Arabidopsis thaliana: one gene and its partners. The protein of the gene in region 2 interacts with the protein of the main gene of each other region in a pairwise test. Each region holds a gene or a part of one and is shown on either strand. Other genes may lie near its edges. The genes, in order: GONST5, CEV1, AT1G14020 and AT5G35460.

What was found.
Region 1: the proteins of CEV1 (region 2) and GONST5 interact in a protein complementation assay, tested with the Arabidopsis thaliana proteins (one large-scale study listed by BioGRID).
Region 3: the proteins of CEV1 (region 2) and AT1G14020 interact in a protein complementation assay, tested with the Arabidopsis thaliana proteins (one large-scale study listed by BioGRID).
Region 4: the proteins of CEV1 (region 2) and AT5G35460 interact in a protein complementation assay, tested with the Arabidopsis thaliana proteins (one large-scale study listed by BioGRID).

What each region holds. Positions count from the first base shown.
Region 1 is NC_003070.9:7,676,542-7,680,358, reverse strand, and holds GONST5 (golgi nucleotide sugar transporter 5), read right to left. Parts: upstream 2,152-3,817; coding exon 2,038-2,151; intron 1,942-2,037; coding exon 1,692-1,941; intron 1,597-1,691; coding exon 1,389-1,596; intron 1,207-1,388; coding exon 975-1,206; intron 884-974; coding exon 662-883; 3' UTR 516-661; downstream 1-515. Other genes in the region: AT1G21866 (Plant thionin family protein), read right to left, coding at 2,579-2,860. UniProt on the Arabidopsis thaliana protein: GDP-mannose transporter that may be involved in the import of GDP-mannose from the cytoplasm into the Golgi lumen.
Region 2 is NC_003076.8:1,529,616-1,537,096, reverse strand, and holds CEV1 (Cellulose synthase family protein), read left to right. Parts: upstream 1-1,538; 5' UTR 1,539-1,849; intron 1,850-1,959; 5' UTR 1,960-2,006; coding exon 2,007-2,030; intron 2,031-2,202; coding exon 2,203-2,398; intron 2,399-2,516; coding exon 2,517-2,722; intron 2,723-2,815; coding exon 2,816-2,918; intron 2,919-3,030; coding exon 3,031-3,208; intron 3,209-3,316; coding exon 3,317-3,583; intron 3,584-3,683; coding exon 3,684-4,029; intron 4,030-4,109; coding exon 4,110-4,247; intron 4,248-4,335; coding exon 4,336-4,461; intron 4,462-4,542; coding exon 4,543-4,755; intron 4,756-4,881; coding exon 4,882-5,143; intron 5,144-5,306; coding exon 5,307-5,509; intron 5,510-5,605; coding exon 5,606-5,956; intron 5,957-6,111; coding exon 6,112-6,696; 3' UTR 6,697-6,965; downstream 6,966-7,481. Other genes in the region: AT5G05180 (myosin heavy chain, striated protein), read right to left, coding at 1-4, 101-173; RUL1 (Leucine-rich repeat protein kinase family protein), read right to left, coding at 7,080-7,481. UniProt on the Arabidopsis thaliana protein: Catalytic subunit of cellulose synthase terminal complexes ('rosettes'), required for beta-1,4-glucan microfibril crystallization, a major mechanism of the cell wall formation. Involved in the primary cell wall formation, especially in roots.
Region 3 is NC_003070.9:4,801,008-4,805,915, reverse strand, and holds AT1G14020 (O-fucosyltransferase family protein), read right to left. Parts: upstream 3,197-4,908; 5' UTR 2,987-3,196; coding exon 2,728-2,986; intron 2,648-2,727; coding exon 2,580-2,647; intron 2,495-2,579; coding exon 2,406-2,494; intron 2,314-2,405; coding exon 2,151-2,313; intron 2,044-2,150; coding exon 1,754-2,043; intron 1,665-1,753; coding exon 1,460-1,664; intron 1,353-1,459; coding exon 1,195-1,352; intron 1,073-1,194; coding exon 805-1,072; 3' UTR 541-804; downstream 1-540. Other genes in the region: LSMT-L (Rubisco methyltransferase family protein), read left to right, coding at 1-127, 208-423; AT1G14010 (emp24/gp25L/p24 family/GOLD family protein), read left to right, coding at 4,126-4,332, 4,418-4,627. UniProt on the Arabidopsis thaliana protein: Glycosyltransferase involved in the formation of rhamnogalacturonan I (RG-I) oligosaccharides in the seed coat mucilage, which is a specialized cell wall with abundant RG-I. Transfers the rhamnose residue from UDP-beta-L-rhamnose to RG-I oligosaccharides.
Region 4 is NC_003076.8:13,670,534-13,676,003, reverse strand, and holds AT5G35460 (uncharacterized protein), read right to left. Parts: upstream 3,516-5,470; 5' UTR 3,407-3,515; coding exon 3,326-3,406; intron 3,226-3,325; coding exon 3,106-3,225; intron 3,020-3,105; coding exon 2,962-3,019; intron 2,870-2,961; coding exon 2,769-2,869; intron 2,690-2,768; coding exon 2,594-2,689; intron 2,506-2,593; coding exon 2,412-2,505; intron 2,179-2,411; coding exon 1,941-2,178; intron 1,816-1,940; coding exon 1,458-1,815; 3' UTR 501-1,457; downstream 1-500. Other genes in the region: AT5G35450 (Disease resistance protein (CC-NBS-LRR class) family), read right to left, coding at 5,319-5,470. UniProt on the Arabidopsis thaliana protein: Glycerophosphocholine acyltransferase (GPCAT) that utilizes acyl-CoA to acylate glycero-3-phosphocholine (GPC), forming lysophosphatidylcholine (LPC).

The DNA of each region.
Region 1 (3,817 bases), on a different chromosome or scaffold from region 2:
TGCCCTTTTCTCTTTAACTCCTTTGACCTGGTTTCAGACTACTGTAGCATGAAGATTTTTTGAAAATTGATTTTTTGTAAGGGAAGGATATGGCGGTAAATTCAGCAACATAAGTTGAGGCCCACTTGAAAAAGCCCATTTTTTACTTTTGAGAAGCTAAAGCAACGAATTTGATGAGCTGTTTTGAGAGCTAAAATATTCGTTTCCCTTAAACACCGTCTTAAGCTCTTTCATGTATCAAGGCGGGAAAATGAATAATCATTTCTTATATATTGTCAAATTAACTTTCTATTTTCATCTTCTTTCAAAGATTCCCAAACTTGCACCATTTTGTCATGTATTAAGTCTCTGATGTTAGAACATGGCACTATGGCACAAACAAAATTGGAAGGAAAAATTAAAAAGCTGAGGTAAGTGAAAGCACTACCATAATTGAATACAAAAATGGGCCTGCTTTAAGTATCTTTGTGGTCATCTCTGAGTTGGTTTGATGAGGATAGATAATTTAATACAATGGAAACAAATAAAATGGCACTTCTCTAACTTCTCTAGTTTGAGTAAAAATAAACATATAGTTAAACTATAACTCTCTTGTGGATGTTCAAGATCAAATCTAACTTCTTTGTGTGCGTTCAATAGTCTAGTGACTTACCGATGATATTCAAATTTTACTCTCGAGTTTATCATTAACAAGAGGGATCAGTTCCATCTTGTTCCTTGGGGTACGAGGAGTCCTAGGAGTTCCGGGTTGTTGCTGAGAAAGCATGTGTCTTACATATCCGTAAAAGGTGCAGCCCACAAGTGTGATTCCGCAGCCAACAGCATTCATCGGTGATATCGGGTTTCGAAATATCATCCATGAAACAAACACAGCTACTGCAACCTGCAAATCACATACCATCCATCAAACATCTGAGTTATTGAAACTAGAATATAAAGATTAATGTTATGTGGTTTGGGATTTGTTCATTTACCTTAAGGTTTCCAGCTACATTGAATGTGACTGCTGTTGTGGATTGAATGACATAGAAGATGGAGAAGTTAAGACAGAAAGCTAGAACACCTGAGTTGAAAAGAATTATGAGAGCCGACCATGGAGATGGATGTGCTTCAAACCAATCCAAAATTCCATTCCTTTCTAGTAAAAATGCAGGTAACCCGAGAATCATGGTCGCGAAAGGCGCCATATAGTATACCGTGTTTATGCTACATAGAGAGACATGAAAATGAGGAGGACACAAACACTCAGTTCCATGAAATATGAAAAAGCAAATCAAGTATTGGACTATGAGAGCATGGCATGTCATTGAAACCAAATGTAAGTTTCACACATTCAACACCTATCATGTGAAACTGAAGATCAAAACCTCAGGAAACAGAACATTGACCTGTCAAATTTGTATCCATGAAGAAGAGATTCTGCAAGAATGGTCTTTGTAGAGGTAGCTAAACATCCAAACAAAGCAGCACAGAATCCAAACACATTAAAGCTAAGTTCTGTAATAGAAGTAAGAAGAATCCCTCCAACAATAGGCACCAATGACGCCCAAATACGCCAATCAAAATATTTCCTCCATACCAACCACTGTAACACAACTGCACTCAAAAAACCATTACACAAAAACCAATCAGAACAATAAAAAAAAATCACTTTATTTTGAAAAATTCTCAATCTTAAAAAAACCCTAAACCTGTTGTTGCAGGAGTTAAAGATTTGATAGTCTGCATAAAAGAGACAGGAATGTATCTAAGACTAATATTCCCCAACACAATGTTGATACAGAACACAAATGACATTGGAAAAATCCTCCTCCACCTATCTTCTGGATCAACCACAATCAAAGGTTTAAGCTTTAAGACTTTAATCACAATGTATGCTCCAATCGACGAACATATGAAATGAACACATGAAACTGATAATGGAAACTTGAAATCCAGTTTCTGCAAACAAGGAAAGGTACCAAATTTCAAACGCAGATCAGATAAAACAAACGAAAGGCTAAGTCTTTAATGATAAAAGTAAGAGACTTTTTAAACCTGAAAGATCCATTTGTTCATGATGATAACAGTAACGTTAAAACCCCACCATTGAAGAATCGATAACAGAGATCTGAACATAGTCCATTGACGCCACAGACTTCCTTCCTCCATTGATGGGTTTTAAGAAGTGAGTCAGAGAAGGATCCAAAAGATGAAACCTTTAGGAATGTGGCAATGCAAAAGCTAAATAAGAAACCCTAATTAAAGCGCCAAGAGAAACAGAGTAACGGTTCTGTTTTATATGCGAGAATTCTCTTTTTCTCTTTAGTAAGTTTCCGTGTAGTTAAATGCAAATATGTTTATGCAGCATAAATTATGCTTATACAAGTTACCAATTTTCAGTTGTTACATATATAAATATAAATAATTAGATTTTTAACAAATTTTCCGTATACAAGTAAATATTGTTAAAGATAAAAAATTATGGAAGAAGGATACATAAATACTTGAAATATTGATCGATACATTGATACAAAAAATCATAAATATATAACTTATGCATAGAGAAAGGAGACAAATTTTTTGTAATGTGGATCAATTAAGCGGTACAAATCCAGCTAAATGCTCTGCAGAACCTTTTTATAGGACCACCATTACCTCGAGGGACGATGTATCGCTCGTTGTTGAGAGGATCACATATAATCTTGCAAGGGTTGGCACATATGGCTGGAGTCGCTTTCTTTGATGCTTTCATGCACTGGTTCACGACACAATTTTTGACACACACATCTATCGAGTTGGAATGAGCTGAAAACATCATTGCAAATAAAATTACAATCATCAATACACTGCAGATTTTCTTTGACACTTGAGTTGCCATGTCGTAAGTATTGTGAGTCTGAAAATCTTAAATTGTAATGTTTTTTTTCTTTCTTTTTTCTTTTTGTTGTGGTTTTGAAACAAGATGATTTGGTGAGAATGTTGTGTTGATTATATAGTAAAAATAGTTTTAGCTGATTTTAGAAGTAACTAACTATTAGGAGGTCAACTTGTTTTCGTTTCTTTTTCTTGGCAAATATATCGATTGATTTCTGGACAACTTATATGTATTATACTGTTTTGGTCATCTAAACAACTATTTGCATGCTATGCATAAATATAGTAACACTAATTGCTCATATTTAAAATATTAGCCTGTACAACACATATCTTAGTGGCATTTTCTTCTTAAAATTCGTGACCACGTTTTTGTTACGAAAATCGTAATATGCACATGACATGGTAAAGAATACATACCGTTAACAAGGAATGATTACCTTTCACTGTACATAATTTTTTAAGATCATTGAATTTATCATTGGACACTAAAAATCTTTCCTTTTTTAAAAATGAAAAATAACAATTCCACCAAAAGTATCCTAAAAACTCAATGCCTAACTAAATCACATTGTTATTTTTCATGTGATTTAAATATTTTGGCGATCATCGGGGTACATTCTTTCTTTCAAACCTATAGTTTTTCTTAAATATGGTGAAAGATTCATCAGGAACAAAAAGAATACGTAATCCTTTTGTTTTGTCTATAATTTTTGAGTTGAATACATATATATATATATATAAGTAGGAAATTATGTACATTTGTTTATAAGAAAACGTAAGGAAAATATGTACTTTTGTTTATGAATAAGTAAGAGGTTCTAGATACATACAATACACTAAGGCGGATTAGATCATTTAATATGACTCCTCCCAGGTAAATATGTACATTTGTAAACATAATTTTCTTTCATATTGTCTTTATCGTCATTTTCCTCCATGAAAACACAATAAACTTTTT
Region 2 (7,481 bases):
TGATCTGAAACTTGACAATTGATATGTCTAATAAGATTTCTACGTTTGAACGGAAACGCACACAACCAAAATAAGACATGAATGAATTATACGGTTATACCTGTTGAGATGTCCACAAAGGAATTCGAATTATGTGGCCACTCATCTGGGACCTCAACTGTTGTAAAATCCATTACACTTAAACAACAAAAAGCGAATCAACTTAAAAATGATCAAGCAAAAAAAAATCAAAGAAACGTAAACATAGAATGATGTAACAGAAAAACCCTAAAAATACAGAAGATATACGAGATATAAAAACTGGTAAGATTTTTATTTACTTTTTTTTTTTTTATACTCCTAAGATTTAGCTATAACTAAACGTATTTATATTTTTTGACCAAAAAAAAAAAAAACGTATTTATATTTATCTCTACAATAATTTCGATTAAAAATATCTAACAAAAAAAAAAGTTGTGATAATAATCAGTGGAAAACTATCATGAAGAGACAAGCTAATGTTCTTTAATTGAAATCTTAGAAAATAAAAAAACTAGGGTTGCGTAAATTTTAAGACTTTCTTATGTCACAGAACTGAACTTTTTTCACTACATGTAAACAGAAATTATAACTCATTTGCAACGGTGAAGAAACATAGACAAAGACCCTCCATAAATCTCAGAAAAACAGAGCAAGTAACTCAGATCATAAGATCTACAAAACACATCAACGGAACAAACAAATATCAAACCCTGAAATCTGATTCACATAGGACCAAATAAACATGAGATTTCACTGACCTTGAAAATTGATATGATCGAGGGAACAAAAGAGCAGATTTACAGGAAAAGTGAAGGAGAAACAAAGGAAGGTTTAAGTAGAGGATTGCTAGGGTACGAGAGTTACGAAGCAGAAGGTGGAAAGGTTTAAAGGGACGACAAAGAGGAGGGAAGATTTGTCGGATAGCGAAGAGAAAGTGGCGCTCTTTGGGATTCAAATGTTTGCCATTTTCTTCTTTTGTCTATCTGACAGTCTGTTCTTTGCTGCACTAGTGGCCACACATCTCCACATGCACCACCAGTTATCAAAGTTTGACCTATTAATTATTGGGTTCGGTTCGATTCAATTTTCTCTCGTAAATAACGTAAACCGAACATATACCAATTTTGTCTGCAAAGTCCAACAAACCCATTTTCTCGATTCTGTTGGGCTTGATGATACTAGAGTTGGACCTTTATTTTTTCAGCCCGCTGGTTTTAGCCTATTTTGATATACTAGTAAGTAAAGCATCACTATCAATATATTTTGATTTATTCATTGGACTAATCCGTTGATTAATTAATATTTTGAAGTTTTATTTTTGTCGGCAAATACTTTTTAAGTTTTATCTGTAAGAAAGTTAGTGACGATGAATATCCTTTACCCCACTACTTGTGATTTGTTGTGTTCTTCACACTTCTATTTTAGTTATATCACTATCAAATATCAATTACTATTTTGATTTAGTCACTAATTCGATGATAATATATTTCTAAGGATATTTTAAAGGTTTATCGGCCGTTTTTTCACTTTTTTTACAGCCACTGTAAAACTGTAACTAGAAAAAAATCGACTGTGGAAGTTGTCGGTGGTGGTGGTGGTTGTTGCTTGGTTGGATTATGATTTGTGACAAATATATTAATATTTTAAAAATCTGGAAGAGTGACGAGTAGAGGAGACAAATAGCTTGCTCTTTGCATCTTCTTAGCCATCCCAAGATTCTCCTCTTCGTCTTCCTTATAAACTATCTCTCTGTAGAGAAGAAAGCTTGGATCCAGATTGAGAGAGATTCAGAGAGTCACATCACCACACTCCATCTTCAGATCTCATGGTAAAGCTTTTAACTCTTCTTACACTCATGATCCATTCTCAGATTTGACTTCCTTTACTCGGATCTCCTCAGATCTAATCGTAGTTTCTGTTTTTGATAATTCCGATCAGATTTGAACTATTCCGACGTTTCGGTGTTGGAAGCAACTAAGTGACAAATGGAATCCGAAGGAGAAACCGCGGTATGCTTTTTTGACTCTTGCTTCATCATTATACTTACCTTTATCGAAATCAGGAATTATATGTACTGAAATTGATTGATTTGGGTGTTGAATTGTGTATTGGAGAGATCTGATTTCAAATTTTCTGTTGAGGTTTCTAATTTTGGCTTCATTGATTCGACTTGATTTGTAGGGAAAGCCGATGAAGAACATTGTTCCGCAGACTTGCCAGATCTGTAGTGACAATGTTGGCAAGACTGTTGATGGAGATCGTTTTGTGGCTTGTGATATTTGTTCATTCCCAGTTTGTCGGCCTTGCTACGAGTATGAGAGGAAAGATGGGAATCAATCTTGTCCTCAGTGCAAAACCAGATACAAGAGGCTCAAAGGTTCTCTTTTGATCCTTCTGAAGTATACTGTCTTCATTGTTCATCGATAGTTTATCAGTATGTTTTGAATTTTGGATCAGATTGGTATTTATAGCAATTTGCTAATTTCTGATTCTAGGTAGTCCTGCTATTCCTGGTGATAAAGACGAGGATGGCTTAGCTGATGAAGGTACTGTTGAGTTCAACTACCCTCAGAAGGAGAAAATTTCAGAGCGGATGCTTGGTTGGCATCTTACTCGTGGGAAGGGAGAGGAAATGGGGGAACCCCAGTATGATAAAGAGGTCTCTCACAATCATCTTCCTCGTCTCACGAGCAGACAAGATGTAAGGCATTGCTGTTCATTCTTCCCTCTTAAGCATTCGCATCCTCACGCAATTTAGTTTTGGAATCTGATTTTGTCATTTGCTTATTTACAGACTTCAGGAGAGTTTTCTGCTGCCTCACCTGAACGCCTCTCTGTATCTTCTACTATCGCTGGGGGAAAGCGCCTTCCCTATTCATCAGATGTCAATCAATCACGTAAATATCCTTTATTTCTAACTCTCTCGCCAACACATATATTTGTACCTAGGCTTCTCTTTTATGTCAAAACTCTAAACAATAAAATCTGTTGTTGTCATTCACGCTGCAGCAAATAGAAGGATTGTGGATCCTGTTGGACTCGGGAATGTAGCTTGGAAGGAGAGAGTTGATGGCTGGAAAATGAAGCAAGAGAAGAATACTGGTCCTGTCAGCACGCAGGCTGCTTCTGAAAGAGGTGGAGTAGATATTGATGCCAGCACAGATATCCTAGCAGATGAGGCTCTGCTGTGAGTTCTTGTTTTGTAATCTTGTTTGTTCTGTCGTGGTGTACCGAGCGTTTTTCCTATTAAGCAATGTCCTGATACTCATTTTCCAATTCTTTATTTATTGTACAGGAATGACGAAGCGAGGCAGCCTCTGTCAAGGAAAGTTTCAATTCCTTCATCACGGATCAATCCTTACAGAATGGTTATTATGCTGCGGCTTGTTATCCTTTGTCTCTTCTTGCATTACCGTATAACAAACCCAGTGCCAAATGCCTTTGCTCTATGGCTGGTCTCTGTGATATGTGAGATCTGGTTTGCCTTATCCTGGATTTTGGATCAGTTTCCCAAGTGGTTTCCTGTGAACCGTGAAACCTACCTCGACAGGCTTGCTTTAAGGTAAGTTCTATTTCCCCATTCTTCTGAAGCAATTACTCAAAGGATTGTTTGCCTATACTGTTTCCCATTTTAATTTGATCATGGTCAATTTTTGGGACAGATATGATCGTGAAGGTGAGCCATCACAGTTAGCTGCTGTTGACATTTTCGTGAGTACTGTTGACCCCTTGAAGGAGCCACCCCTTGTGACAGCCAACACAGTGCTCTCTATTCTGGCTGTTGACTACCCAGTTGACAAGGTGTCCTGTTATGTTTCTGATGATGGTGCTGCTATGTTATCATTTGAATCACTTGCAGAAACATCAGAGTTTGCTCGTAAATGGGTACCATTTTGCAAGAAATATAGCATAGAGCCTCGTGCACCAGAATGGTACTTTGCTGCGAAAATAGATTACTTGAAGGATAAAGTTCAGACATCATTTGTCAAAGATCGTAGAGCTATGAAGGTAAGTTTGTAGTTTTAGTCATCTAGTCACCCTCACTTTGATTTTAGTGTATGCTATATTGACCTTTTATTTTCTTTCAGAGGGAATATGAGGAATTTAAAATCCGAATCAATGCACTTGTTTCCAAAGCCCTAAAATGTCCTGAAGAAGGGTGGGTTATGCAAGATGGCACACCGTGGCCTGGAAATAATACAAGGGACCATCCAGGAATGATCCAGGTAAGAAATTGGTTTTAACTATGGAATCGAGAATGCTCTCTCTTTCTCTCTAGAAGTTCATTATTGAAGTACCATTTGCTGAATGCAGGTCTTCTTAGGGCAAAATGGTGGACTTGATGCAGAGGGCAATGAGCTCCCGCGTTTGGTATATGTTTCTCGAGAAAAGCGACCAGGATTCCAGCACCACAAAAAGGCTGGTGCTATGAATGCACTGGTAAGTTTCTGATCTTGGATTTTTGACTTCTTCATTCTGACCAATTTGTTAGTCTAATCTGGGTACTTTTCAAATGAATAGGTGAGAGTTTCAGCAGTTCTTACCAATGGACCTTTCATCTTGAATCTTGATTGTGATCATTACATAAATAACAGCAAAGCCTTAAGAGAAGCAATGTGCTTCCTGATGGACCCAAACCTCGGGAAGCAAGTTTGTTATGTTCAGTTCCCACAAAGATTTGATGGTATCGATAAGAACGATAGATATGCTAATCGTAATACCGTGTTCTTTGATGTAAGTCACACTTACCTATACTTGCGTCTAATTTTCTTGTTCTTTCAAATTGCTTTTAGACACGAATATACATTAAACTCACAGTTTCTTGAGTTTGTCGTAATTTTTCCATGATATGTTTTCCAGATTAACTTGAGAGGTTTAGATGGGATTCAAGGACCTGTATATGTCGGAACTGGATGTGTTTTCAACAGAACAGCATTATACGGTTATGAACCTCCAATAAAAGTAAAACACAAGAAGCCAAGTCTTTTATCTAAGCTCTGTGGTGGATCAAGAAAGAAGAATTCCAAAGCTAAGAAAGAGTCGGACAAAAAGAAATCAGGCAGGCATACTGACTCAACTGTTCCTGTATTCAACCTCGATGACATAGAAGAGGGAGTTGAAGGTACAACTGTTTTTATTTCTTCTTTGGTTTCCGTTATACCCATATGTTGCTGTTTGAAATATTGATCCAGGGGAGGGGATTATTTATAGTTGACAGTTGTCTAAATAGTTTCCATACTAGGTATCTCATCATGTCTTAACTATTTGGCATTTGTGAAACTTAGGTGCTGGTTTTGATGATGAAAAGGCGCTCTTAATGTCGCAAATGAGCCTGGAGAAGCGATTTGGACAGTCTGCTGTTTTTGTTGCTTCTACCCTAATGGAAAATGGTGGTGTTCCTCCTTCAGCAACTCCAGAAAACCTTCTCAAAGAGGCTATCCATGTCATTAGTTGTGGTTATGAGGATAAGTCAGATTGGGGAATGGAGGTATAATCTCATTTGAACTCCTACATGAATCTGCATTGTTCTGACATATCCACTTTGGCATTCACTTTGTTTATATTTTCCGCTGTCTTTCTTCAGATTGGATGGATCTATGGTTCTGTGACAGAAGATATTCTGACTGGGTTCAAAATGCATGCCCGTGGATGGCGATCCATTTACTGCATGCCTAAGCTTCCAGCTTTCAAGGGTTCTGCTCCTATCAATCTTTCAGATCGTCTGAACCAAGTGCTGAGGTGGGCTTTAGGTTCAGTTGAGATTCTCTTCAGTCGGCATTGTCCTATATGGTATGGTTACAATGGGAGGCTAAAATTTCTTGAGAGGTTTGCGTATGTGAACACCACCATCTACCCTATCACCTCCATTCCTCTTCTCATGTATTGTACATTGCCAGCCGTTTGTCTCTTCACCAACCAGTTTATTATTCCTCAGGTTTGACACCTCTCTCTGTCTATCTATCTCTATCTCTATCTCTATCTCTAGAACAAACCTTAATTACGTTCTGTTTAACTGAAACCATGTTGTGTTTGTCATCTATTTACGGTTCCAAATCCTGATCAGCTGGTTCTATTGTTCCTCTTTTGCAGATTAGTAACATTGCAAGTATATGGTTTCTGTCTCTCTTTCTCTCCATTTTCGCCACGGGTATACTAGAAATGAGGTGGAGTGGCGTAGGCATAGACGAATGGTGGAGAAACGAGCAGTTTTGGGTCATTGGTGGAGTATCCGCTCATTTATTCGCTGTGTTTCAAGGTATCCTCAAAGTCCTTGCCGGTATTGACACAAACTTCACAGTTACCTCAAAAGCTTCAGATGAAGACGGAGACTTTGCTGAGCTCTACTTGTTCAAATGGACAACACTTCTGATTCCGCCAACGACGCTGCTCATTGTAAACTTAGTGGGAGTTGTTGCAGGAGTCTCTTATGCTATCAACAGTGGATACCAATCATGGGGACCACTCTTTGGTAAGTTGTTCTTTGCCTTCTGGGTGATTGTTCACTTGTACCCTTTCCTCAAGGGTTTGATGGGTCGACAGAACCGGACTCCTACCATTGTTGTGGTCTGGTCTGTTCTCTTGGCTTCTATCTTCTCGTTGTTGTGGGTTAGGATTGATCCCTTCACTAGCCGAGTCACTGGCCCGGACATTCTGGAATGTGGAATCAACTGTTGAGAAGCGAGCAAATATTTACCTGTTTTGAGGGTTAAAAAAAACACAGAATTTAAATTATTTTTCATTGTTTTATTTGTTCACTTTTTTACTTTTGTTGTGTGTATCTGTCTGTTCGTTCTTCTGTCTTGGTGTCATAAATTTATGTGTAGAATATATCTTACTCTAGTTACTTTGGAAAGTTATAATTAAAGTGAAAGCGAATATTTTTTTGTTTCTGTAGTTAAAGCAGTGGTTATGATTTTTCAATTTTCATTAGTGAAAGCAGTTACGTTTGATCATAAGCACTAAACTACGATGCAAAGAGAAATTATTTTTAACTGGGATTCAAAAGTAATAAGATAGAAGTAGAATTGATCAAAGAAACTTTTGGTCGGAATGAGGAATCATTCAGAGACATTGGAAGTAGCCTCTGAGGATGTTCTGTTTTGCTGTAACTGCTGAGACTGATCCAATCTCCTCACATCTTCAATCATCCTCGCGACCTCTTCCATCTTTGGCCTCGATTCTGGATTCCTTGCAACACAGGCCAACGCTAGCTGAAGCATCTGAACCATCTCCTCTTCAATGTTCTGAAACTTCAAGAGCTCCACATCGAAAACCTCTGCAGTCCACTCTTCTCTCACAACAGACCGAACCCATCTCGGAAGATCAATGACGACACGCTCATCCTCGAGACCAGGCTGAGTTAAAGGTGTCTTCCCGGTTAGCATTTCGAGAATCACCACACCAAAGCTATAAACGTCTGATCTTTGACTGACTCTCCTCGTCTCAATAACTTCAGGAGC
Region 3 (4,908 bases), on a different chromosome or scaffold from region 2:
CTTCAATAACACCATATGGGGTCATCTTGAATTGCCTGTAAGTCGTACAAACGAGGAACTCATATGCCGTGTTGTCAGAGATGCCTGCAAATCTGCTCTGTCTGGTTTTGATACGACCATTGAAGAGGTATATATGTTCGAGCTCTTACTTGTACTGTCTTTGCAGCTTAACACTCATTTCTTACTCGTCTTCATCGTCTGTTGTAGGATGAGAAGCTTCTGGACAAAGGAAAGCTTGAGCCTAGGTTGGAAATGGCTCTCAAGATAAGGATTGGTGAGAAGAGAGTGCTTCAGCAAATCGACCAAATCTTCAAGGATAGAGAGCTTGAACTTGACATTTTAGAGTATTACCAAGAGAGAAGGCTCAAAGATCTTGGGTTGGTTGGCGAACAAGGGGATATTATCTTCTGGGAAACCAAGTGAGAATTAGCTTAGCTTGTATAGCTTATCCTGCAGAACAAACTCAAGGCTAGAAAGAAAATCTTTACTGGTTTGGTCTCAGACCACATAGACTTGAATCAACCTCAAGACATCAGAGTTGAGAGACCACAATTTGTATGTTAGGCTATTGCCAAAAGCAGGCTTTTTGAAATTCTATAAGATGAGACATAATCTTCTTTTTAGTTACATCTTAATTTACGTAAAACTAAATAAATCAAGATCAGCAACTATGCAGGAAAATTGAAAAAAATTACAAACAAAAATGGAAAAACTCAGGGAAGGAACTATGCAGCTCCCGTTCAAGTGTTTGACATGCCGTCCTCTTGCGGAAGCAATGAGATATAATATGCTAAAAACATGACTTCAATGTGTTAAATTTCTATGGCCAAACAGGTCGTGGCAATTTGTACCTTCACAAAGACATTCTTGAGGATTTGCGTAGAAGTAATCTTCCTCCTTAGGTTTGTCAGAGATTACTCTTCGATGAGTAGGTGCTCCTGCTCGTCTCTCATGGGCTTCCTTGACTGCTACTGCAAACTGATCCCACGTGAGGGTCTTGTTGTGATGTAAGTCTAGTAGCTCCACGAGTCTCTTACGGTCAAGCAGGATTGTCTTCTTATATCCAAGGTATCTGCAAATTCAAATCAGATATAGACCAATAATGGTTATATAGAATCACAGGTTTGGTTATTCTTAACACCACCTTTTTAGTTGTCATGAAATTGAATGCATTCGACACCACAAATAATTTACCTACGATGACCTTCCACGACTTTTGCCATGTTTCCATCATACGTAGGAATAAAAGTGTTGCTGGCCACAGATACCATGAAATCTAGAGCAGCCATTTGAGACGAATGGTTCTGAAACTGTTGCAGCTCTGCTGACTCCAATAGCATTTCCTTCTTTACCTATAACCACAGGTGAGTAAAACTGATAAGAAAAAGTGCATTGTAATGACGATGCAGTTGAGCATTCTTTGTAGCAAGAAAAGGGAAACCAGGACTGGTAGACTCACAATTCTCGGGAATGCTTCCCTTAACACGGATAGTCTATGCTCGCTCCCATAAATCTCACCAGCTGCAATGTATATCTGTGTATTTTTCTCAAATCCCAACGCTTTTAATACCAAGGCCACCTCCTCTGGCGTCAAAGGACACAGCCCTTGCGCCCTCCTCTCCTCTGAGACTATCTCCTTCTCTCTCCACCAGGGATATGTGTACCTAAAGAACACAGAATGGACCTATGAATTAACAACTAAAAAGACCTATAACCAGAGCACCAATTCAGGAGAAATCTTTTGAAGAGAAACCTCATCTTTTTTAGCTCTTCCGCTTCTTCCTCAGTGCAACCATGAGTGCAGCCAGAGAAAGCTAACATGTCCATCTCATATCTCAGATGCAAAGCCACAAATGGCCCTCTTTGTTGTAGAATCCGAACTAACTTAGATCCCAAAGCCTCAAGCTGTGGAGTGAACTTTAGTCCCTGAAAATTCACCCGGCACCTGAGCCACTGGAGAGAGAGCGGAAGACCATTGTTTGCCAGGCGGGTATCAGTCCTATTGAAGTGTACAACTTTATGCTTGCTGAAGAGAGGCAATACCTGAACAAGAAATTAACCAATCACATATGCAAATGGTTAGGTAATATCTTGTAACAAGGATAGTCAAAGGAACCAAAACAGCAAAACTAGTGATAAACAAGACAAACCTGCTTCAAGTAATATTTTTCATCAGACCAGCTCACAGGAGGCATTTCGAACATTTGATATCCATACTTTCTACTAAACCGTTTAGGAAGCCTCCTTAAGATCCGAACTTCATCTCTTAATGAATCAATGAAATGTCTCACATCAAAAATATCCTCAAAACCACTGCAAACAAAAATGAGGATACTTTAGATTGCTAAAAAATGTTAAGCATATAAGACACATGAGTGATTCTATAAACACCAAAGATAGAGTACCTAGGATCAGCCCAGAAAGATGTTTTGTCAAGCTCTGGAACAACGAGAGTGAGATTCAATAACCGAGCAACAGTCACCATATCACATATCTGAAACACAACATAAAAATCAGAATTTGGAAAAACATCAAATCTGAAAGAAGAAGAAAAAGAGAATTAAAGCAAAGTCACCAACCGCGGATCGCATTTGATTCAATCCACCATTACAGGATACAAGTAGAATACCATTGCTTGTATAATTCCCTGCACAAAATCAACAATCTCGTTAAACTCTCTCAAGCACCAACGAACCCTAATGTCCCCTAAATAGAGAGAAAACTGACTCGGAGGAGGTAGAGGAGGTGGCAATGGAACTGGCTCAACAGGGGCTGAGAATCTAGAAATCTGATTGGTTAAACCAGTGAAGATCCGGGAATGCCAAAGCTCACCGGCGGCGAAAAGCTGAACCAAACACGTCCAAACCAAAATGCTGGAGCAAACTCTAACGAACCATACTTGTACACGAGGCTTCGGAACTGCCGGCGGAAGCGGAAGCTTATCGCTTCGCGCCTGAGTAATATTACTCTCCGATCTAACTTCCATCTCCCTCCTCCGACGATCGTCGTCGCCGCTTCATGAGAATAAAATTACTATAACCTAAATTTCTCCGATCTTGTGAGATGTCAGAAATTGAAATTAGATGACAAACGCGAAATGAAATGCTTCTTCTCTCCTTTGTGTCAAATGGTTTGAATCTCGAGGAGTTTTTTTTTCTTTCGAAATTCAGAAGAAGAAAAAAAAATCACGAGACGGAAAAAAAAAAAAAAGAGGTGGTAACGGTGAGAGATGGGAAAATAAGTTAATTAACCGTCAAAGTGTCTTCTTCTTCTTCTATTTATTGTTTTCCCAAGAAACTCATTCTATTGCTTACACAATTTATTTCCTAATTCAGAAAGCTTCAATTTTCCTAACTTGTTTCATTATATATATCATTAAATGTCAAAGATTATTCTATAACCAAAAAAAAAAAAAAATAGGTTTCAAGGATAATGATTGATCAGAAAAACATATGATAAATAAAGATTTCAAGAATATTCAACATTGAAAAACATATAAAGAAAGATGACACATTTTGCCTTTTTGATAGTCGTTGTCATTCGTCAACGGATTCACCTAATTGTTCTCCCGTACTTTTTTTATTACTGTCATCTATTTATTGCACTAATCACGATTCAAACCACTGTTTATATTCATCTCCTTTATTCAGATATTTTCAAGCTGTTGTAAAACAAAACAAAAACTGAAACGAAATCATGACACGTACCTCAATGTTGCATTATTAACATCCCTTCCAAGGAAAGATTACTATTTTATTCTTTACTAAAAACTCGAGTACAATTGTCTTTTCAACAAAATTTCCCAATTAAGTTTAAAATTAACATTACCAAGTCATATGTAGTTATGCTTGAATTATAAAATCTGGATGTGTTATTTGTTTCTTTATTTACTTCTAACTTACTTTAGTGTGATCCACTACAAGTATATAGGTCCAACATTATTAATGGGCCTTAATTTTAAAGCCCAATTCCAGAGGGTAGTACTCCACGTGTTTTAACGAATGAAATACTAACACGTGGCAATGCACGTGTTGACTTTCTTTTGTTTCCTTCCTTCCGTTTAACAAGAAAAATAGCTAAACTTTGAAATCCGTCAGATCGATTTCTCTCTATATCGGAGCCGTCATGAATCATCGTCGGAGCTCGATCGTACTATTGATCCTCTCAATTTTATCTCCCGTGACACTCTCTATACGATACGAGCTACTTTCTGGGCACACGAAATGCATCTCAGAGGAGATTCACGCAAACGCAATGACCATCGGAAAATACAGCATTATAAACCCTCACGAGGATCATCCTCTTCCTTCTTCCCATAAAGTCACCGTCAGGGTAATAATCATCCGATCGGATCGCATTTCCCTTCAATTTCTTCTTCCGGCGATTTCAGTATAATGCAATGTGTTTGATTTTTAAGGTCACATCGCCACAAGGGACGGCTTATCACGAATCGGACGGAGTAGAATCGGGACAATTCTCGTTTGTAGCTGTGGAAACAGGGGATTACATAAGTTGCTTCTCCGCCGTCGATCACAAACCAGAGACGACGCTGATCATTGACTTTGATTGGAGGACGGGTATTCATACCAAGGATTGGTCGAATGTGGCAAAGAAGAGCCAAGTCGAAGTAAGTTTTTCGCTTTTTCTTTACTCTTGAAGTCTTAACTTAGTCAAACTAATCTCTTTAGAGGAAATAGATTTTGATGCTTCTAATGACATGAACAATAGAGCATTGCGCCGGATGTGTGAGAATTTGATAGCTGCCTAAGTTACACCAAGACATAGTGCTGGAAAGTGGAAAGTTATATCTGAAGTGAGAAATGCTATGTAGTCTTGGTTTATAGGTTATGTTGGTGCATTGGTTTGGTTAGAACAAGGCCATGAATTAAGCTGACAGGGCTCGTGTGT
Region 4 (5,470 bases), about 12 Mb from region 2:
AAGCGCATTTCGAGAAATTTTATTCATAAAATTAAGTTTTTTCATTGAATGAACAAAAAATGAGACTAGCGTAAGTGAGAAATATGCCAAGTGTTGTTACTATACTCTCAAAGGTTGATCGATTACCATCATGAATATTGATATCATGGACAACTCGGACCTGACAAAACACATGATCAAGATAATTTTTCAAAAAACATTGTAGTCAAGGACACACCAACAATATTTACATTGATTTTCTGTTTTCTTTCTCTGTTCAGTGCGGTATTTGGCATGTATCTTAATGCGACCTACTTTGTAGATTATATAATCAAAATCTTATTCCATTCATTTCATGTGATACACGACTACACGTCCTGGATTCCACCAAGACAAGGCTCACGGGTCCAATGCTTAGAAGCGAGCGATGGAAGCTTTTAGATGAGAAGTATTTGATTCTACAAACAACCTAGAACTCGCAAGAACAGATTTGATTCAAGATACAAAGTATTGAAGCAAGAAACAAACTGAATTTCAATTGATCAAAGCGTGAATACAAAGTAGAGAATCAAAGAGCTTAAATTGAAAAGTACAACAATGGTCTAAAACTTAGAAAAGGAAACCGAATAATGCGAAATAAAGAGAGGAGCGTGATGATTCTAGCCGTTAGGCTATAATGGAGGATCTTCGGTGATGGCGTCGAGAGCTAAGTTAAAGTCGCAGCTTCTAAACGTCGTGTAGTCTTTTCATGAGGGTGAATATAATCAGCAGAAAGTCTTCAAGTACATCAGGGGGCTCTTCGGTTTGGTTTGACTCAATTTGACCGTACGGTGCAAATTGGTGGTTCTTGAGTCTTCTTCCAAATCAGCTCGTTACAGGGGCGATTTGCATCGATCAAAATCCTCTTCATGGTCGATTTTTGAGTGAATTCTTTGGCGGAACTCAAGTTATTAAGCTTCATCTCCACTGAACAATAGTCGTATCGGACATGATGGATTTCATAATGCTATCGGCATACTTATTAAGCTTATTCCGCGGCTGGTAACGACATGTTCGAGAACTATGCACTATCAAACACATGAATGTTATGATCTTTAGTGATGGTTGTTTTGTACAGCAGAAACAGAAAACAAAATCCGCGTCTCAAGGAGAACTTATCCCAATCTACTTCGCTGAAATCCGAAGATTTTCCTTTCTCGAAAACGCGTTAAAAATATAGTTAAATCTCTCATAATGCAATTTTAAGGCCAGAATGTCCTAGCGAAACAGGATCAAAACTTTGGCTAAAGAGTAAATAACAAGTTTCTTTAGAAAAAATAAACTACAAGATCATTCACATACATTAAGCTTTTAGAATGATGTATAGCAACAAGAGAAACAAACAGTTATAGAACAAAACATGAGGAACAAAAAAAACACCAATCATGATTCACCTTTGAAAACTTTATTTTACATGTACCTTTTTGTTAGAACCATGATCATGTTTCAGTAGATTTTGGCTCATTCTCAGTCGGATGTGACACAGCTTCATGATGTAGTATCTGCTCCTCTATCGGCTGCATCTCAGCTTTCTTCTTCTTCTCTTTCTGGATCACTTGCCGTGGCATTACCTCTAGTAAAAAGCTCCCTCCGTTCCACACAGCCGCAGAAATCTTTAGGATCTGAAAGATCACATGAAGTCTATAAGATAGGAAGATCGGTACGGTCAATGCCATGGTTGCCACCGTGAAGATGGCCTGGAATAGGATGTACATCCATATACGATTCTGATCCCCTAGCAGACCGCTCAGCTGCCACAACTTATTGTTTGCCTTTTCAGCTTTCTTCGACAGCTCTCTGCACATACCAAAGGATTCCATCAATACAAGTGTTCACTCTATGGTAAGAACACATTACATTATGCTGTGACCTTAGCGATCAATATGAGGAGAACATTAACATACGGCGTAGACAAGAGATACCTGTAAGAAGTCATAACTTCAGGATCTCTAAGGAGTCTCTGCCTACGCAGGACATTGACGATTAGAAAATAGAGCACTTGCCAAAGAGTATAAACGACTAAGGGGACGAGAAACAGCCATGTGAATAGGTAAGCTTTGTCTTCAACATAAGGCCATGAAACCCTACGATCAGTGCCTACAGGGTGCATAGCTGCAAAAGTCGCTGGATTCCACCACCTAATCGTGAAAAACACGAGCCCTGAAACCAAAATTCATTACAATAATAAAGAAACAATGGAGAGAGAGAGCATAAAGCTTAACTATATCTATCATATGCATTACAACAAGGAACCATGTGTTTGAATTAAAAACGGTTGAGAGGGGAACAACAAGCTAAGAATTCATACAACTACTTTAATCAAAGCCGTCAACTTTAGCAATATGAATCAATAACATATCTTCTTCTGTCAACAAGAAGATTATAGAACTCACCAGGTAAGAGATGTATAAGAACACTAACAATCTTATCCGGCGAACTAAAAACCAGACTGCAACGCCAGACAATAATCGCCCACGCCAATGGTCCCTGCAGCACAAGACACAACCAATAAAATAAATCAGCACACACAATGACACAAAAGACTCATATACATACATGTAGTTAAAAAGCATACCTCAGCAAAGGAAAAGCAAACCATGAAAAGCTTTTCATTCTTAGGATACAGAAGAAGATCAACCAAGAAGATTGTATTGGCATAGTAGCAAAAGTCCTATCACATACACAAAAATTGTTTCAATAACAATCAAAACGACTGTTTCTTAATTCCAAATCCTCAAAAGAGACATTACCAGAAGATAATAATGCCATTTCTTAAACCGGTAATATATCCATCGAAGAGGAACAAAGATCACATAGAAGAAACAGTAAACTAAAGGAATGTCTTGAGGTCCTGAAAACGAAAACATCATCAACATCAACAACATTGAATTAAGAACAAAACACAAAAAAAACAAAAAAAAAACACAATTTCTTTGAACTCACTTGCACCAAGTAGGAAACAAAAACCTCCAAATCCAAGCACACCAACGAGATGTGTCACCTTTAAAACATTACAGAACCAAACATTTTCAAACCAAAGTAACTTAAAATCAAAACATGATTGAAGAATCAAGAGAGAAACCTAACCTTATTGATGAATCTCTCATGTTCTTCGGCTTGTTTAGCGATCTTAACGGCTTGTTTCGATAAGATCTCACGCGTTTGTACCGCTTGTTTAGACAACAACTCTCTCGTCTGAACAACTTTCTGTCAAAATCAAAAACAATTGGTCCACAAAGTCAAAATCAACAAAATTGGAACAAAAGAGAAACATCAAAAATGGTGAAAATCGAATCTGATGTTGTACCTTTGATCGATCTTTGAAACGTTGTTTAACAGCATCAAACGAGTCTAGTCCATTGGAGTTTGAATCTTCGTTATTCGCCATTATTGCGGTCAGATTTCTCTGTAGATGCTTTTGTCGTTTTTAAAGGAGAATCCGAAAACACTGAATTTTTCTGTTTTCAGGATATTTTACTTTATGCGGAATTAAAAATTTGGTGAAGGAAAATGACCCAAAAATCATTATTAAACTCTTTATATTCGTTACTATTTTTGTTCAGTTTTATAAAGTGGTGATTAATTACATGTAATCCAATAATTACATTCATAATTAAGTAATAAGGACTTTATGTTTTATCTTGGGAAATCAGATGGAATATTAGTCCTCAAAGTAAATTAATTCCATTAATTGCCTTTGGTGATTATATAATTTAAAGACTTTAATAAGAGAGACTGAGAAGGAGCCACGTGTCGAAAGTTGAAACTTCTAGGACCCTCTTTTGCGCGGGTCGAGAAATTTCCTAGCGTACACGTATTTTTCTACATTATTATAGTTAGAGGAACATTTTGTTTAATTGCATCTTGTATTAAAGAAAAAAAGTAAAAAAAGAATGCTGTGGTATAACTTCTTTACTAGGTGCCGACAAAAAAAAAAAACTTCTTAACTAGGTTTTATGAGTTCAAAACTAGAGTTTCTTGACAAGGTTTCACATGTTCCAGAAGCTTTAGTTTTGTTTTTGGATGAAGTTTGAAAGATTCAAAAGCAGTGTTGTAAAAAGCGGTCTAGACGGTCGTTTATATGCCGCTAAGCGTTCAGTTGACGCCTAAATAATCATCTCGACTGCCTAAAATAACATAAATTTCGTTTTAGTATATTTTTTTTATTTTTAACTAATATTGCTTAAATTTTATAAGTTTTACTTCTACACATGGTTATAAACATTCATATATTGTTGATATAAATTAAAGAAACATTTTTATCTAATTTTTGATTAGGATCCGATTAATATTTTCTAATATATAGTTTTATATGATTTTTATCTATAATATCATATTTAAAATGTTTTATGTCATAAACGGATAAACCACCTAAAATCACTTAAACCCCGACTAAGCGTTCTAAACGCTAGGCGTTGGGTCATCGCCCGTTTATCGCCTAACACTTTTTTGAACATTGTTCAAAAGTAAACAAATATACTAAAGCCATAGAATAAGGGGGTCTGTCTGAAGTTGAAACAAGATTTAAAAACAAAAGTACAAAAACTGGTGTTTTGTTCTGACAATCTTATGTTGTTCCTGAACAAGAAATCGACTAATCCCTCAACGACCCAAGTCTAAGTCACGAGTGCAAATATCACACAGTACTGATAAAAGAAATTAAAATGAAACAAAAAACTTGTACAAAATGAGATTGTTTTGTTTATTGTACATCAGTTTTGCTCGTCTTGGTTCAACCATGACTTCACTATGCGTACACAGTAAAAGAGGTGCAAAACTAACAAAACTTAAGCCTAAATGTGATAAAAAACAAATCTAACCAGATTTGATGTAAATAAAGCTTACAAAAGCTAGCTAACTGTGTTAAATCACAAACGAGAAAACAAAACAAATTCGTATAAACATAAATATCCAATTTTTACAATGAACTACAAAAAAAACAAGGTTCGTTTCTCAATTTTATGAAAGAGTTCTCAAGCACGTTCCATGCATCCACACCGAAAACAAACATCAATAAAAAGCATATAGTTCTGAGCCACAACATAACGATGCACTGAAAGCGAGAGCTCCAACGTAATCAGTAGTACTTCAGAATCTGTATTCCAGAGATTTATCAGTAGATGACTCTTGTGAAGCAGCCTCTATCTCTCCCAATATAAGAGAATTTGACTAGCTTCTTGTTCTTTCCTGCATCTATTTAAAAGATGATCGATTTTAGAACAATGTATAAAAGTTGAGACTGTCCACATGACTTTGAAAAGTGAACATTATTATACCGTTTATTTTTTACCTGCTACTGGTTATTCTCTTTGTTCGTCGTCACAGTTGAAAAATTGAACATCGGGAATGTGTTGGACTTTGTAGTAATCTTCTCCAACCAATTTCTCCTTCCACTCCCTCTTCATTCCTTCAATCTTCAGTTCCTTTAAGGATGTTACATACTTGAGTCCGT